Oreochromis niloticus: one gene and its partner. The protein of the gene in region 2 purifies or fractionates together with the protein of the main gene of each other region. This does not show direct contact. Links are inferred from orthologs where the notes say so. Each region holds a gene or a part of one and is shown on either strand. Other genes may lie near its edges.

What was found. Proteins that work in one complex are often made in the same cells at the same time.
Region 1: the proteins of usp15 (region 2) and smad7 purify together in Homo sapiens (affinity purification with western blotting; 3 studies listed by BioGRID). This does not show direct contact. The link is inferred for Oreochromis niloticus from reciprocal best matches to the Homo sapiens genes USP15 and SMAD7.

What each region holds. Positions count from the first base shown.
Region 1 is NC_031972.2:18,262,418-18,270,480, reverse strand, and holds the start of smad7 (mothers against decapentaplegic homolog 7), read right to left. Parts: upstream 3,018-8,063; 5' UTR 1,898-3,017; coding exon 1,432-1,897; intron 594-1,431; coding exon 540-593; intron 1-539. UniProt on the Homo sapiens protein: Antagonist of signaling by TGF-beta (transforming growth factor) type 1 receptor superfamily members; has been shown to inhibit TGF-beta (Transforming growth factor) and activin signaling by associating with their receptors thus preventing SMAD2 access.
Region 2 is NC_031981.2:6,282,560-6,290,123, forward strand, and holds the start of usp15 (ubiquitin carboxyl-terminal hydrolase 15), read right to left. Parts: upstream 3,083-7,564; 5' UTR 3,044-3,082; coding exon 2,955-3,043; intron 2,263-2,954; coding exon 2,135-2,262; intron 1,831-2,134; coding exon 1,700-1,830; intron 967-1,699; exon of another isoform or gene 908-966; coding exon of another isoform or gene 875-907; intron 1-874. Other genes in the region: sodium- and chloride-dependent GABA transporter 2, read right to left, coding at 5,891-6,040, 6,122-6,292, 6,424-6,524, 6,665-6,767. UniProt on the Homo sapiens protein: Hydrolase that removes conjugated ubiquitin from target proteins and regulates various pathways such as the TGF-beta receptor signaling, NF-kappa-B and RNF41/NRDP1-PRKN pathways.

The sequences.
Region 1 (8,063 bases), on a different chromosome or scaffold from region 2:
GGACAGTGACACCCCCAGCTATACACACACAGACACACACTAGAGACACACAAGCCCTCACCCTCATTCTGTTGATTAATTCAGCTGATAAAGACTGGCTGGCTCCAGAGACGCCGCTGTCTGTCTGTTTCTCCCTGTGCTGCGATTCACAATAGATAGACGAACACACAAACAAACTCCCTCCCCCCCTTTAGCCACACACACACACACACACACACACACACACACAGGCTGCCCCCGGTGATGTGCCAGTCAGTCAGTCTATAGCTGGTGTCTCAACTTTGTACTGCCTTGCCCTGGCTGTCAGCCATGCTGGAAATGGCTAGCCAGTCAGCCAGGCGTGCCACTCCACTGCTATCATAAATCACAACATAACATGGAGCCATTTCCTACACACACACACACGCACTGGAGAGGCACAGACAACACAAACATTCATAAATGCAATATAGCCTTTTAGATGGAAATGTTATGCAAAAACAAATGCGCTTCTGGCAATAACATGAATGCATGTATTTATGCATGAACAGCAAGCTCACCTGGTGGTTTAAGATAGTCCATGGGATAGCGGGAATATGGTGGAGGAGGAGACTCTGTATGGAGAAAAAAAATGAGTACATGAGGAAAAAAAAGGGGGAAAACAAGGGAGAGATCGAAACTTTATGATAAGATTTGTCATTTTTCAGGGGAAAAAGATTTGTGTCTGTCAGCTCCGCCTGGAGAGGCAGGCTGAGAGGCCGGCTGGGCGGCTATTGCCTTTCATTGGCAGGCAGATAAACAGGGGGGGGCCGCCTGGCGCCAGAAGGGCCACTATCAGCGTCTAGGACAAACTGAGATACGGGCCTCTTTTGGCCCGGGACGCCAAGCAAACGCGCGCACTCAGGCGAGCGAGCGAGCGCGTGCACGCACATACACACAGAGACCCTGGAAAAACTTCACTGTGGAAAGACTGGAAGACTGTAAAGCCCTGTGCACTTTGGAAATGCCATCTATGAAAGGTTTAAATAGCAGAAAGGCTTTGTTGTTGTTTGGAAAGCGCATATTTGAAGTGCCAAAAAAACATAAAATAAAGCATGTTTGGATACACGTTACCGTTTTTACAACACGGCCAATCAATCAATTATTATTTTAGTCAAATGACATGCCAAACTCGGATTTAATGACGCCACACTTCCGAAAAGATGGGAAGGTGGAGGGGGGTTTGGGGGGTGGGGGGTCTCAGCACGCTAGTTTGACCTTATGGAAACTCAACACAACTGTGCCAACAGAAGTGATGTCATTTGAATTAGGCTAATTAGCTCTTTAGGTAATTGAACTTGAACTTGCTCTGAAATAAGGCCAGAGAATGCCAGAGAATTCAAAATACTTGCTGCCAATAAACAGATAAATAAATAAATAGATAATGTCTATTTTCATAAAAATCCAACTCACCGAGTTCACAGAGCCTGCTCATGTGGTGGGGATTGCAGCAAATGAGCTCTGGGTTGATTTTCCCGTAGGATTCACAGCAAGACAGCCTCTTCAACTCCGAGGAATGCCTGAGGTCCGGCCACCTGAACACTTTGTAGAGCAGCATGGGGAGAGAGTAAGACTGTTGACCCACTTTGGCGTCCACTTTGCTGGGCAGGAGCAAACAGGGGCTGCGGGCACCCCCTTTGGACTCCACTGCCTGCAAAAGCACCTCCAATTGTTTCTCTTTGATCTTTTTCAGTATCGAGTGGGTCAACGCCTTCAATTCAGCCTCCGACCCTGCGTTGGACTTGGCCACCTTTGTCGTTTTGCCCAAGCAGCAGCCCCCGGAGCCATGCGTCCCTCTATCCGTTTCCCCGTCGCCCTCCACGGGCGCACGGCTCCTCCAGAGTCGCCGGACGAGCCCCGATCGTTTGGTCCTAAACATGCGGGACGAAAAGAGGGTTTCCCGGCTAAAAAACGAGCATTGTGTCCGCAAATCATGAAGATTCCGGGATCCGAGTCCAGGCGGTGATAAGCAGCCTGAGAAAAGACGGTGGAAAAACTGGGGTCTGGACAAGCAGAGGAAATCTGTAGCATACGCCAGTCTCTTTCGCCGTCTCCTGCACCCCAGATCACCAAAAAGAAAGAAAAAAGCAGGCAGGGTTCACGGGACAGTTAACTTTTCCTCCGGGGATAAGTCACCATCACCATCGGGAATTTAAGACTTGTGTCTGATGACGAAAACCTAGCAGAATGTGATCGTTAATAGCGAATGGGGGAGCAACCCTGCTGCGCGGAGCCTAGATGTGTTACAATTTTCACTTGGTGATGTGCAACCCAGAGCAGTGAGCTGACCCCTTAAAAATACTCCAGGCAGATTTTTCAGCAAATAAACACTGCTTTTAAAAAAAGAAAAGCAAAGAAAAAGAACGAAAAAAAGCTTTCTGCCAGTGCGCAGTAGCTTTAATGGAAATTACAGAACGTGGGGCCTAATTAAGCCTAAAATGCTATGGCAATTATCCCATGAAAACCGAAGCTCGCTGCCGTGTCTTCAGGAGCATTAATCCACAAAAATCCGTGATCCAAACTGCACAGAGTGCGGTTCTCCACCGGGCATGCGGAGGCTTTTTTTTATTTATTTATTTGTTTATCCGCTATCGTCCAAATATGCCAATCGTCTGCAGAGGATGTGGTCTGCCCGAGTTGAGATGAGCCAAGGAGCAAAAATCCAGGTCTGAATCTCTCACCCAAGTTGAGTTGCGTTTCTAAAGCCCGGAGAGAGAGAGAGAGAGAGAGAGAGAGAGAGAACACTCGTCCAGCCGCCGAGCCTTTCGACCTGTTTCAGCACACAGGCGAACCTTTTTCTTTTTCTTGTCTGAGCGTTAAAATAATCCCAAGCTCGTATCTCACGCGAAGTTTCCGTGGAAGAGAGAGCGAGCCGCCGACTGCGATCTCGAGGGGGAGTATGAGGCTCTCTGTAAATGAGGCGGATGGTTTGGGTGCCCTTGCTCCGTCTCCAGTCTCCAGTGCGCATTGACGCGCCCGGTCACGTGTGTGTCTAGACACCCTGTCGCTTAAAAGAAATGTGATTGTGTGTTGCGCAAACAACAGATCAAGCAGAGCCTGCGGCGCACACACACACACACACACACACACACACACACACACGAAAACCTTTGAAAGGAGGAAAGTTTGGGGGCAAAAAGTTGCCAGAAGGGTAAAGTTGAAAATAAAAGGGCAGTTGAGAAACTGTGAGATGATATAAAGTCTTACAAGAAATTTCTCTCGTCACTGTTTAATGCTGAATAATTGGCAGAGCGATAATGACGTAAATTTGGCCCCTTTGTGTCATATAAAAGTTTTTTCTAAGTTTACTTGATGATTGTAAACTCAAATGTTCTTTTCAAGCTCCAACAACGTCTAATAGCTCTGTTATCTCAGCTTTACTAACACTGGCTTCGTATTAAAGCAGCTCTGTTGCTGATGTGTGAGTGTGTGTCATTTAAGCTAGAAACACTCTGATTTCCACCTTTTTTCTCGTAATATAACATTTGCGCATTTGTCATCATGATTACTCAGGATGGTTTGGCTTGGGAGGGGGCTGCGTAGGATGGTCTCAAGGGCGACACTTCAACCACTCACCGGATATGTCGGGTCGTAGATGAAGCTGGTTCAGATTAGGGATTTTTTTAACGTATAAAAAATGTGCCTGCAAGACTTAACACAGGGAGGGAGAGAGAGAGCGAGAGAGCGAGAGCGGCCACTGTGTCCCAAAGCCAGACGGGAGCGCGCTGCTGCCGCCCTCTGGACGTTTGGTTTCCAGGTGGGACGAGCATCACCAGTTTTCTGCCTTTTAATCATCAACACGGCGGTTTCCACCCTCTTTTATTCATCCAGCGCTCTTGCCCATCACTTTCCCGACTTGCCTGACAACAGATGGGATGTGCCCACATGACTGCTGTCTTTATTATCGGCCGAATCCATATTTATTATGACAGGCGCAGCGGTTTGATTCTTACCGTTTCGATCTGTTTTGCCGTATTGTGTGTCGCTGAAGAGGCAAAACACAAACAACGTCATTTAAGTGTGACAGCTTATTTCTCTATATGGGCACACATAAATGATCTGTTCTCTCAATAAACTCATTTTTATTCAAATAAATAAATAAATGATTCACACTTTGAACCCAAAGTGTCCGAGGCCCTCAGATAGGATCTCCTAGCATCTACCAAACCCTTTGCAACGTGCGCATGAATAATATGCGTGTGTCTGTGTTTGTGTGTGTGTTACCTACATGGCTTCATGGGTTTACCTCCACAGACACAAGTCCAGAGGAGGAGGTGACAGGGGTGCTCCGGGGGCAGATGGGATGGGTGTCTGATAATGATGATTGCAGAGATGTGCGGGGCTGGGTAGGGGGGTGGGGGCAGAGGTGTGCATGGGGGTCGACGGATGGGGGTCGGGCTACCCGCATTGTCCCAGGATCACCCACTGGCGCCGAGCAGGAGGAGACTCAACAGCCCAAACAACGCAGGGGACTGCGCCTCTTTTTTTTTCTTTTTTTGAAGAAGTCTGGAAGCAATCAGTCAGGGGAAAGGGTCTGTCAGAGGTATTGTGGAAGTCGCTGCAGACGCACGCTGTCCCCTCCCCTCTCCCCCTCTCTCCCTCTCCACTTCTCCCTGCCCTTCCTTTTGTGTGTGTGACTGACTATTCCCCAGACTCCAGGAAGTAGCCAATTTTATCTAACCAGTTTCCATTTCAGTCTGGCGAGGAATGTCTGCAATAAGGTGCAGGACTAGGACTCATTAATATATATATTTTTTCCTCCCTGCCTGATAACGTTTTCATGTATTTTTAAACCACACCTGATAATAACTGAAGTAAATACTGAATGGTGCATTCACATGCTTGGTGGAGTCCTGTAATTTGGTGTTGCGAACACTATATTTGTGGAACCTGTCCCCCACACCTCTCCAAACTAACACGTCAAGGTCTTTTATTGGATTTTTGACAGTATGACAGTACAGCCATTAAAACGACATGCACTCACTGGACTCTGTACATATCGATAGAACCACTTTGGACTTCTTTTTGCTTTCAGAACTGTTTTAATTCTTCGTACAACAGATTCAACAAGATGCTGGCAATATTCCTCTGGGAGCTTGGTTAATACTGACATAATAGCATCACACAGTTGCTGCAGACTTGTTGGCTGCACATCCACAATGTGAATCTCCCATGCCACCACATCCCAAGGCTGCTCTATCGGATTGAGATCTGGTGTTTGTGGAGGCCATCTGAGTACAGTGAACTCACTGACATGTTCAACAAACCAGTGTAAGGTGATTTGTACAGTGAGTCCATGAGAACTGTAGCCTCAGTTTCCTGTTCTTGGTCTACAGGAGTGGCAGCTGGTGTGGTCTTCTGCTGCTGTAACCCATCTGCTTCAAAATTTGAAGCTCTAGCTTTTAGCGCAGCAGTCCCATCCACCTGGTGCTTAAACCCTTTGTTTGCAAGGGGCAGCCAATCAGAAGAAAGCTGGCTAAAAGAGAAAGGAATTGCTCATTTCAGAAAGTGGATGACCCAAGGGGGCTGTACCATCATCCAGTATAAAATGAATTATTACTCTGAACTGTGCAAAAGCTACTCCAGCAGGGTCCAAAAATAAAAATGGAGCTGGAAGTGCTTTCTGGTTGACAACTGGAGTGTGGTTCTAATGTTCTCACATCCTAAGGCTACATACAGCAGGCTTAGTTTCATGTTTCCCCGCCTGTTCACAGTCTTTGTGCTGAGCTAGCTTCCAGCTTCAGCCTTATGTATTCATAAGGCATATATACAGCAGTCTTGCTCATCTAAGTCTCAACAAAAAGTGAATAAATGTATTTCTAAAAGCTGCTGAGCTGTTGCTTTAAGAGCCTTGTTAAGCTCAATCAAGTGACCCTGCAGAGGTGATTCAAATGAGGGCGTGCAGTTGGCTAAAACAGCATTACACAGCAAGAGGGATGATTAATATTCTAGACAGCAGCCCAAGCCTTTACTATAATTTATTGACACAGTGACTGGTTTCAGACGAGTGGGGGTCACACATATGCAATTAAACAGGCTTATTATGTGTGAATGAGAATGTTAAGAATAGGGTGAAGACTGCATGCAGGCAGGCAGCCAGTCACTGGGGAGATAAGAATGATAGAAATAAGGCAACTTTAATTAAATAGATAAGAGAAAACTTTAAAAATTCACAACTTGCACATCCGATGTCACAACAGGAAGGATGGAAAACACCCACACTGGTAAATGACGCAGCCTGTTTAAAAAAAAAATAAACAAATCATGCTGTGAAAAAGCATAAAAAAGGAGGAAAAAAACCTATTCATCGTGTGTTGAGAAAAATGTACAATTATCAGCATCTCCAGTGGGGTTTGCTCTATAATGAATGAGAGAAAGCTTCAGTCTTGTGCTCAGACATGCGGTATGACCCACATTTTATCCCAGAATGCTAATGTTAGCTACAGACCTACCAACCTGCCCCAGACTCCTTTTAGCCAACTGAATGTTCAAAGAGTGAGTTACTCTCCTACGCTAAAAATGTCAAAGTCTAATGCAACAGCCTGGCGATAAATTTTACCTTCATGAAGGTCGTGATCTTCAGTTTTAGCTGAAATGATTAAGAAAAGTATTACTCCAAATATTGATAATATCGATACCAGCGCTGGTATCAGTATCGGATCGATACTAGCACGATAGGATCGATACTTTCTATCCTCAAAATTCTGTATGTAGCCCACTGAATAGTGTTAAATAAATTCTTATTCTTTTGGAAATGAAAAAAAATATAACACAAACATGAACTATGAAAAATGTACCTTTTTGTCGCCTGCCAGGTCTAGTAGATTTACAGCCTATATTTAAACAACAGAAGCTGACAAAGCGCTTTAGAGACTAGAGATTTTAATTCTTGATCTACAAAACATTTAGTTTCAAAATACATGAAAGTATGAAAGTGTGTTTTATTATAAAATGTGGAATGTAAACATCAAATCGTGTAGTGTTCGAGTGTTCATGTGTGTTCAGAATTTGCAAATCAATAATGATTCATCTCAAAAATCATGACACACTGCTCTCCCCTATATAAGCTAACTTTATAGGTTAAAAGTGTTGGTATCAGTATTGGTAATTCTGGCCCTGTATTTACTTGGTATAGGATAAACTGCTAAGTTAATGCTGGGTAAAACCTGAGGACTGGGGTGTAAGTTCAGAACTTCATCTTTAGCCGACAGTTGCTCAGTATGTAGCTCGTGCCCTGCAGCCAGTGGTCAGTCAATACAAAGAAACCCCTCAATTCAATATTAATAACTTTTAATCAATCCAGACTTTTAAGTTGGATCAAAGTGAGCCTGACACGTTGAGATGCAACAATGTTATTTTACACCCAATTACACGTGCAAAGTGCACTGAAGCTCAAAGAGTTATTATAGATGTTATATAAGATTCAAGTTTTCATATGAGAAGCATTTTGTCTTGTCCAAGGGGCTTTTGTCTTTTCAGTATGAGATGAACTAATCTGTAAGGTGTTGTTTGATAAACCTCTCACAGAGAGCATCTACTTTCAGATTTCTTTAGTCTGGTTTGGGTTAAGGGATTACATCTTTGTCATGTTAAAGCTGGAGGCCTCAGTGACCTAGTTCTCTTTAAAGGCCACTGGCGTGAAACTGCATGCATTTAACTGTCCTACATGGACGAGTGCCCAGGCTCAATTGTGATACTGATGTCAGTCATTTTTTTTGTCCCTTTAAGCAATTGCGTGATGTTTGTGGACGAATGTTTGTGTGGGATGAGTCCTTCACAGGAGCTACACGGTATCGCTCACTTAACTCCACTTATGCTTAATTCATAGCACCACAACTGTGTCTGCTTGCAGAGATATTTACCTACAGAGGGCCTGAAGAGAGGGGCTTTCAACCAATGAAAATCTTCCCATGCAGAATTCCAACTGCTTGTTCCTCGATGTGTATGATGTTGTGAGTTGGTTGAATGCAGACTGGCAAACTAATGAGAAGAGAGCAACGGTGGAGCAAAACGGGAAAAAACAAAACATTAAAGGCCACAGACCG
Region 2 (7,564 bases):
ATAGAGGCAAGTTTGGCTGAGTTGTTCCAGCAGAAGCCTTTGACTGTAAGATGTTTGTCCAATTGTTATCATGGCTGAGCTTAGCTTTGACAGAAGTTTAGGCACCCAAAAAGAAACTGTGACACCAACCTGGCAAAAATAATCATGATGCAACTCTTATCTCCTTTTCATCAAATTCCTGCAAGACTGAAAGCAAACTCCTAAGTTTAATGTGCTAGAAAAAGTTTAACAAAATGGATAACAAAGCACACTAAGCTCTGCTGCGCTGGTCTCTACTCATCTGGAGTCCTGATACTTCACAGTCAGAGTGAAGTGCCTAAATTAGCAGCACCTCGTGGAAACAGCTGAGGGGTCCCAGCCTATTTATTTCACCCCTGAGCCCCTCCAACACACAGACACTGACGCTACTAAACTGCAAAAGTCCTTCACACACAGCTTAGATTCTCTCAGCACCACAACCCTCCCCTACTCAAGGCTCTTGGTGGGCTAGTACACCTCAGCGCACCACCCATCTGTCTGTGAGCTCAGTCAACGTCCAACTCACCACCAAGCTCTGACACAGTTTCTCAAATCAAAGCCGAGCCAAAACCATTTAGGCCACCCACGCCGCTTCTCCTATACTGGTTTGCCTCTCCTCACACTCCTTTGAAAAGCTTTCGCGCTGCTTCTCTCAGTGTGACCTCAGCTGGCATTCCTCCGCTTGGAAAACAAGGACGCAGGAGCTCTCCACCATTGTTGGCAATCAAACCACAAGTGGAAAGCGGAAGGAGCCACAGTGTCATACCAATGACTACAATCCTACAGTTCCCCCCAGCATACCCCCCACCCTCAAGTTGACAATATAGAAACAATAGGGTAAAAAGAAGAAGAAAACCTCCTTCATGTTGTGTCTCGCAGATCGCTCCATGTAGCTTTTCAGTCATCCAGAACGTTGCCTGAAAATAGAAACCTTGCAGCTACCCGATACGCCGCATGACATACATGGCAAAAGAGGAGGGTCAATGTAGGGGGGGAGACGAGAGACAGACTGATAGATATGGAGAGGGAAGAGGAAGTGCTTCCAGCAGCCATGATGCCATGACTAGCGAGATTTTAAGAGTTGCTTTGATAGCAAAAGTGCCATCACACAGTATTCAACTGTAATCACAAACATATAGGAATTCTTCATTTTTTTTACTCCAGCAAACCTCACATACTCTTATGCTAATATGGAAATAGATAAGCACACATACTGCGTTTCATTCATAAAAGAAATGAATGAAAGGCAGCTTTATTTTTTTTTTAAATTTCTTTGTGATAAGTAAACACCCAGTCTTTCACTATTATTTCTGAGATTCTGTGTAGTGTACACAGAGTAAATCTGTGTAAATCTACCTGACCAACCAAATTATATCAAAAATGAATGTAATGGTTAACTATTCTTTGCAGTTCTTTTTGTTAAATATCTGTCATCATAGAGCCTTTCACTATCACTGTTCAGCAACAGTGACCCAAGTTCAAGTTTCCTTTTCCAAAAGTGCTGCGTGTCTCATTTTCTCAAACAGCCTTATTAGCACAATGTTCTCCCTTTTACCCCAACACAAGTCACACTGCACATTAAATCTACTGATTCTGTATCTGAGAAAACCATCTGAACTGGCAGCAGAACAACATGTAAAAAAATCCATTCATAATCTTATGCTAATAACTGAACCCTTACCTTGCGAGCGATTGGCTCCTGACCCTCTGTGAGTCCATACCAGCTGACGAGCTTATTCCAGCCTTCTGTTGGGACCAGAATGTAGTCCAGCTCATCAATGAGGTGTTCCTTGATGGCGAGCACATCCCCATCTAGAGGGAGGGATGGTCATTCACATGCAGTTAAACAAGAGAAAGCACGTTCTCTTGTGCACATTCTGTGGGTCAACACTTACACTATTGATAACACACAAAGAACAAGGTGAGCTGGAGAGCTTTCTATGACCCCACTCTAAAGAAAGGCTACTCTCTGGTTAGTAGACAATGTTTTTTGTGTGCGTGTATGTCACTTGTCCATAAAGCTAACCTACCAAAAACTGCTTTCCCATACATTTATCATATACTTTTAGAAGGGATAAAATAGAGATCTAAAGAGATGGACTATTACTGGACTTACCTTTGAGAAGACCAGAGTTATCAACCGGTCCTGGGTAGACATTCTGGTCTCCCATCTGGTATTTGTCCCAGCTGTCAAATCCCACATATTTCTTCCACTGTTTGAACCAGTGACTGTCCACTAGGTACCTGCAGAGAAAGCAATCAAGATTACAACATCTCTACTAAAAGCAAGATGTGAAAGTCAAGAGTTAAATAAAAGGGGTGGTGGGTTGCATTAAAGTATTGGGCTATAAACCAGGTTACCTTGGGGCTACCTTGCAGTGAGTACCCGAAACAAATCTGGTTTTGGGAGGCATACATTACACAGACTGACAGTTGTAACAGTAGCTTTTAGCCGCCGTGTTGAGTTCAAATTGCTACAAGCCTAGCCAGCTGGCTCTGTGATTTTGACAGGTGTTTTTTTCCGACTCCGCCCTGCTGAAGTCGGCGGATGAACCCACTGACAGGCAAACCGCTTGGATCATCGGCAAGCTAGCCAATTAGCTGATAGCCTGATAACTATCTGTATCACTCAAACGGCATGTAGCCTTACACATCCACAGAAAATATGTGACACCGTTTTTTGGAAGTGAAGGATATAAACACCAAAATACAACATTTAAATTTAGTTTAACTGTTTTGAGTCTTAGCGTGAGCTCAACCAGCGCTAGCCTGCCAAGCTGACACATGAAGCTGACAGGCAGCCGTTAGCTAGCTCGGAGCTCACTGTCAACACGGCCCGGCCGTCTGGATTTCACATCCTCCGTGGGGTTGACAGCCTCAGCAGACCCAGCCCAGAGCCACGCAGTGCCCTTGAAAAGATCACAGTCAATTCTTACCAAGTGTCTCCCTTTCTTAGTTGTGTTTTCAACAGTGTCGCGACCTCTCCTCTTTGGGTATCCAGATCAGCCGCTCCTCCTTCCGCCATCTTTCCTTAGACATTCCCCGGTGCATGGTGGGAAAAAAAGCGGCGCGTCATAGAGGCACGTAGAGAGCGACGCCGCTGCTGCAGCCAATCATCACAGGGGAAGCGTGACACCCAGTGGCAAAATTATTCTAGAAAATGTTTCAAAAGTGCTCCATCATTGTGGATGCACGGGTTTACAGCTGAGAAAGAAACTGTGCCTTTAAAAATAAAGACCAGCAATGAGGGGAAACAACACAAGTGACACTTTTTAACACTCCGTGAACACTGTAGAAGAGAAAATCCCAATATAAAGAATCTGAACGTTGAACCATCTATAATATTGCAATTTTGGGAAAAGTACTGTGAAAGCAGAGTTTTATGAACTGCCAGTTACCTCACACTATAACATATCCTACACCTGGAAAAGGAAAACAATTAACAAGTGAATGCAGTTCCTGAAGAAAATGTGGTCTGAATGCTGAAAGCTCAATGATTTGAGTTTTCAAAGCTCTAAAGTAGTTGAATATCTTTAAAATGTACATTAGAAAAGCTGACAAATGACAAAAGAAAAATCTGAATGAATATTGAAAGCTCATATTCTTTCAATGTACAATAATAAAAATAATATGATTGTATCCACGTTTGCATATTTGCACATAGCTGTTTTATTTATTTATATATTTTTCATTTTATTATGAATTAATATTGTTTTGCTGGGCTGTGCCATGTTATGTCTGTGTTTAACTGCCATAACAATAATTTCCTGCAAAGGACTATAAAATAAAGTATCTCTCGAGCTATTGATCAATCTACAAACCTACTCCTGCAATAGCTACTCAGGTGTACCTTGATAACACACTCAACATCGTGACACAGTGGTGCACATGTTCACTGAGACTGGGATTTCTACATGACTGCAAGTCAAATAGTTCCACTGTAATAGAAGATTATGAACTTCTGAAATTTTACCTTTGCCAAATACTGCTCATATAATAATAATAATAACTAAGACAGAAACCAGTCAATATTAATAAAGCAATAACAATATATTTTTTTAAAAACTAACTGTAAACAATAATCCAACTCTGGAAAGTAACTGAAACTAAACGGGTACCTTTAATAGCATACTTTATACAAGCTAAGCACTTGCAAAGTCCGCAGATGTTATACTTTATCACTTTATAGAACATGATTTTATGAAGAAAAAAAAACATATCAGTAAAATCCTGATGTGATTTGTTGGTGATTTGTTCTCCATTTTCATAAAATTGGAGACTTTTGATTGTTACGGACTGATTTTCTTTTTTTAAAGTTACATTTGTAGCAGCAGGTGCATGTTCAAAAGACACAGGAAGCCCAGATGCTCCAGTTTTCCACTAGCACTTGAATGCTGCATGCATTTGTGGATTTGTACAAAGTTAAAGTTGAAGAGTCTCAAAACCCAACATGCACATGTGACATGTCCCTTTGTATCAGCCAAATGTATTCATTTGTATTTATTCATTTTCTAATATAAAGATTGTACACAAGTGTGTGGATTGAAACATACCTTTGGTGTTACTCAACTCCATCAAGTTTTGTTAAACCAGACAACAGACACTAAAAACTTATTATATAATTATATAATTGAAAATAGCATAATTTTCAAAATGAACTTCATGTTGTATTTAGCAGTGACTATTGCTCTCTCTTGCTAGCTATGAAAACCAATGCAGCTGTAAGGCACTTTCACAGTGGCTTCACTTTTTCAGCAGTAACTACATCCTACGTTTATATATAGTCTGTGGTTTAAACCTGACAAAGAGTGGTGTTTTGCTGCAGGTTCCAACTTGAATAACATGTTTTAGAGAAATGAACCCAGCAAGCATTTAGGTGAGCTTTGAAGTAGAAGTTTGCACTCCTTTAGTGCTATTGTCACAAGTGTTCACCTACAAGCACCAACCTGTTTTAAATCCAGTTGTATTACAAGCCAGTGTACACAAGGAATGAGGTACTATAGGTGTAAGCCTGAGTAAGATAATAGTGTGTTTAATCCACCAGAGTTTCCATTTAAATAGCAGGTAAACACAGGCGTTACTGATCACATTAGTTAAAGGTCTGTGCCTAAGCAGAAAAGAACAATGGCTGCTGTGAAAAAGACTATGCGACTCTTTTTTCCCCCCCTTAAAGCTTCCATGCTTAACATCCACATCCCCGAATCTGGATTATTTTTTCAGACTTTAGGAAGTTCCCCTCGGAGAGCAAAGAAAAAATGGTTCAGGACAACTTACAAAGTTTATTTTTCAATCCGCACTTACAACAGTAATGTTTCTTTGTACAGTCATTATACGTTACAGTACAAAAAATGAAACTACAGTTTATATACCATATTAGTCCATATCAGTATTCTGCATTTCCAAGTATTTATTCTGCATCCTATTATGTCTACTGTTAAGCATAATCTCATTTTCCCTAAATACAAAAGGAAAACCTCTGCAGTTATTTATCACAACATAACAATATGATACAAATATGACAAAACAGCCATGCAGTGTTGTCAGATACATAAAGGAGCATTAAGAAGTTGCTCTCTAAGTGTTATGGAACATCCAATGATTCAGCTGTTCCTCCCATGACTTTGCTTTTCTTGGGTTACTTATAAACTTTACCGATGGATTCCCAGACTCAAGAACAAGTTTGTCTAAATTACTTTTGTCCCTGAAAAACTCTCCTTTCCACTCTGAAAGTTCTTAATTCAAATGGCAGGCTACTTTTTTAATTTCTTCTGCCCTATTTTATCACTCAAAAATCGTCATGCCACTACTTTCGCCTGAGTCCACCATGTATGTTATGTATTAAAGTCAGTGGATCCCACAGACCACTGAAGCCTCACAAGTTGGAGTCTGCCTCGGAGACCGGGAAGTAGCCATTTGTAGTCTTGGTGGTGTCTACCTCTGGAGCAAAGATAGCCAGTAACCTCTCCTGCTCCCTCTTGGTTTTAGGTAAGTCGTCAGATGGTCTGATGAGCAACTGGATGCGCTGTGAATGAGCAAACAAAGATTAAAATCGGGAGCACACGAGTTGGGCGCATGTTTTCCACTGACAGGATGATCAGCATACCTCTCTGAGTGTCCCCTGGGTGGTGCTGATCTTATACACCATCCACAGTGGGATGCAGACCATGGAGGAGAGAGCAAGCAGCCAGCCGATCACATATCCCCACCACGGGTACACATACTCATTGTTGTACTTCAGAGGAGTGTATTTAATGAGGGAGAATGCAAAGGTGCCCTGCAGAGACAAGGTAACAGGGTACGGCAATTAGTGAGGATCAAAAACCTGCTTTATTTCCTCTTTTTTTTTTTCGCTAATAGAACATTTATTGTCATTTTGGGAACTTTATCTATTTTACTGAGACTCACAATGCATGTGGCAGGGGAGAAGAACAACCAACAGCACTTGATATACGGTCCTGGCCGGTAACCAATCATATCCTCAATGTTATCGTAAAAGCGATCAGCGCCTGGAAAAACACGATTTAGACACATGTCATCGTGGCACAATGTAACTCCCAGCTGGGTGTCTGCTAGTAACTTGGGTGAACACTCAGAATTACTCGTCAAAGCTTGTGCTGTAATCTTACATGCAGTTCTGTTTGCTTACCATAAACCCACGCAATGCAAACTGTCTCAAAGATGGACATGAAGAGAAGACACATGCCACTGGCTGCGTAGTAATCAAAGAGCTGAAAGACATACATGCCCCCCTAGACAGATAGAAACCAAAGAGGTATAATCATTCAAATATAGTTTACAGTTACAGTTTTAGACAGTTTTTTTCTACTCTTGGCTCCGTATGAAGTCACTGAAAGGAGATATCCCTAATATGGTCATCTTAGGCACATAGCTTTTGCTGCACACACCTGCAAACCCCCTTTGTTTTTGTCTTTTTACGAGGGGCAGCCAATCAGAAGAAAGCTGGTTTAAAGGGTTTAAGGTTAGGATGGCTTATTGCAAAACTATTCTAATAAGGTCCAAAAATAAAAACTGAGACCTGGAAATGGGCATAATAGGTCTCCTTTAACTAAAAATGAATGGTAGCTTGAAAACTGTACAGTAAAATATTGTTATTATACTATAATACTGTTATTATACAAAGACCTTGAAACCTTGAAGCCCCAAAGTTGACTATTTCAGCCCTCATCCTAAAATTGGGAGCATTGCATAACAATGCTTGTCACTTACCTGAGAAGGGTCGCACAAAACCATTGACGCGCTTGTACTTACAAACTGAGGACTTGTTGACACCTCTACAGAGCATTCATGCTTCCAGCTGTGCAGAGGTGAAACCACGTCAACTACGTTGGATTCTAGTAAGAGTTTATTTAATCAGAACAAAGCATCCCTCCACCCCAGCAACAGCCCGATTTGTTGAGAGTATGTGTGCGTATGAAGGCAATAGCTTTAACGTCACATGATCAAGCAAACTGCTGCTAAAGGCATTCATTCCTGTTAGGAAACAAGGGATGACACCACAGCTTTTAAAAATGAATGATTTAAAGAC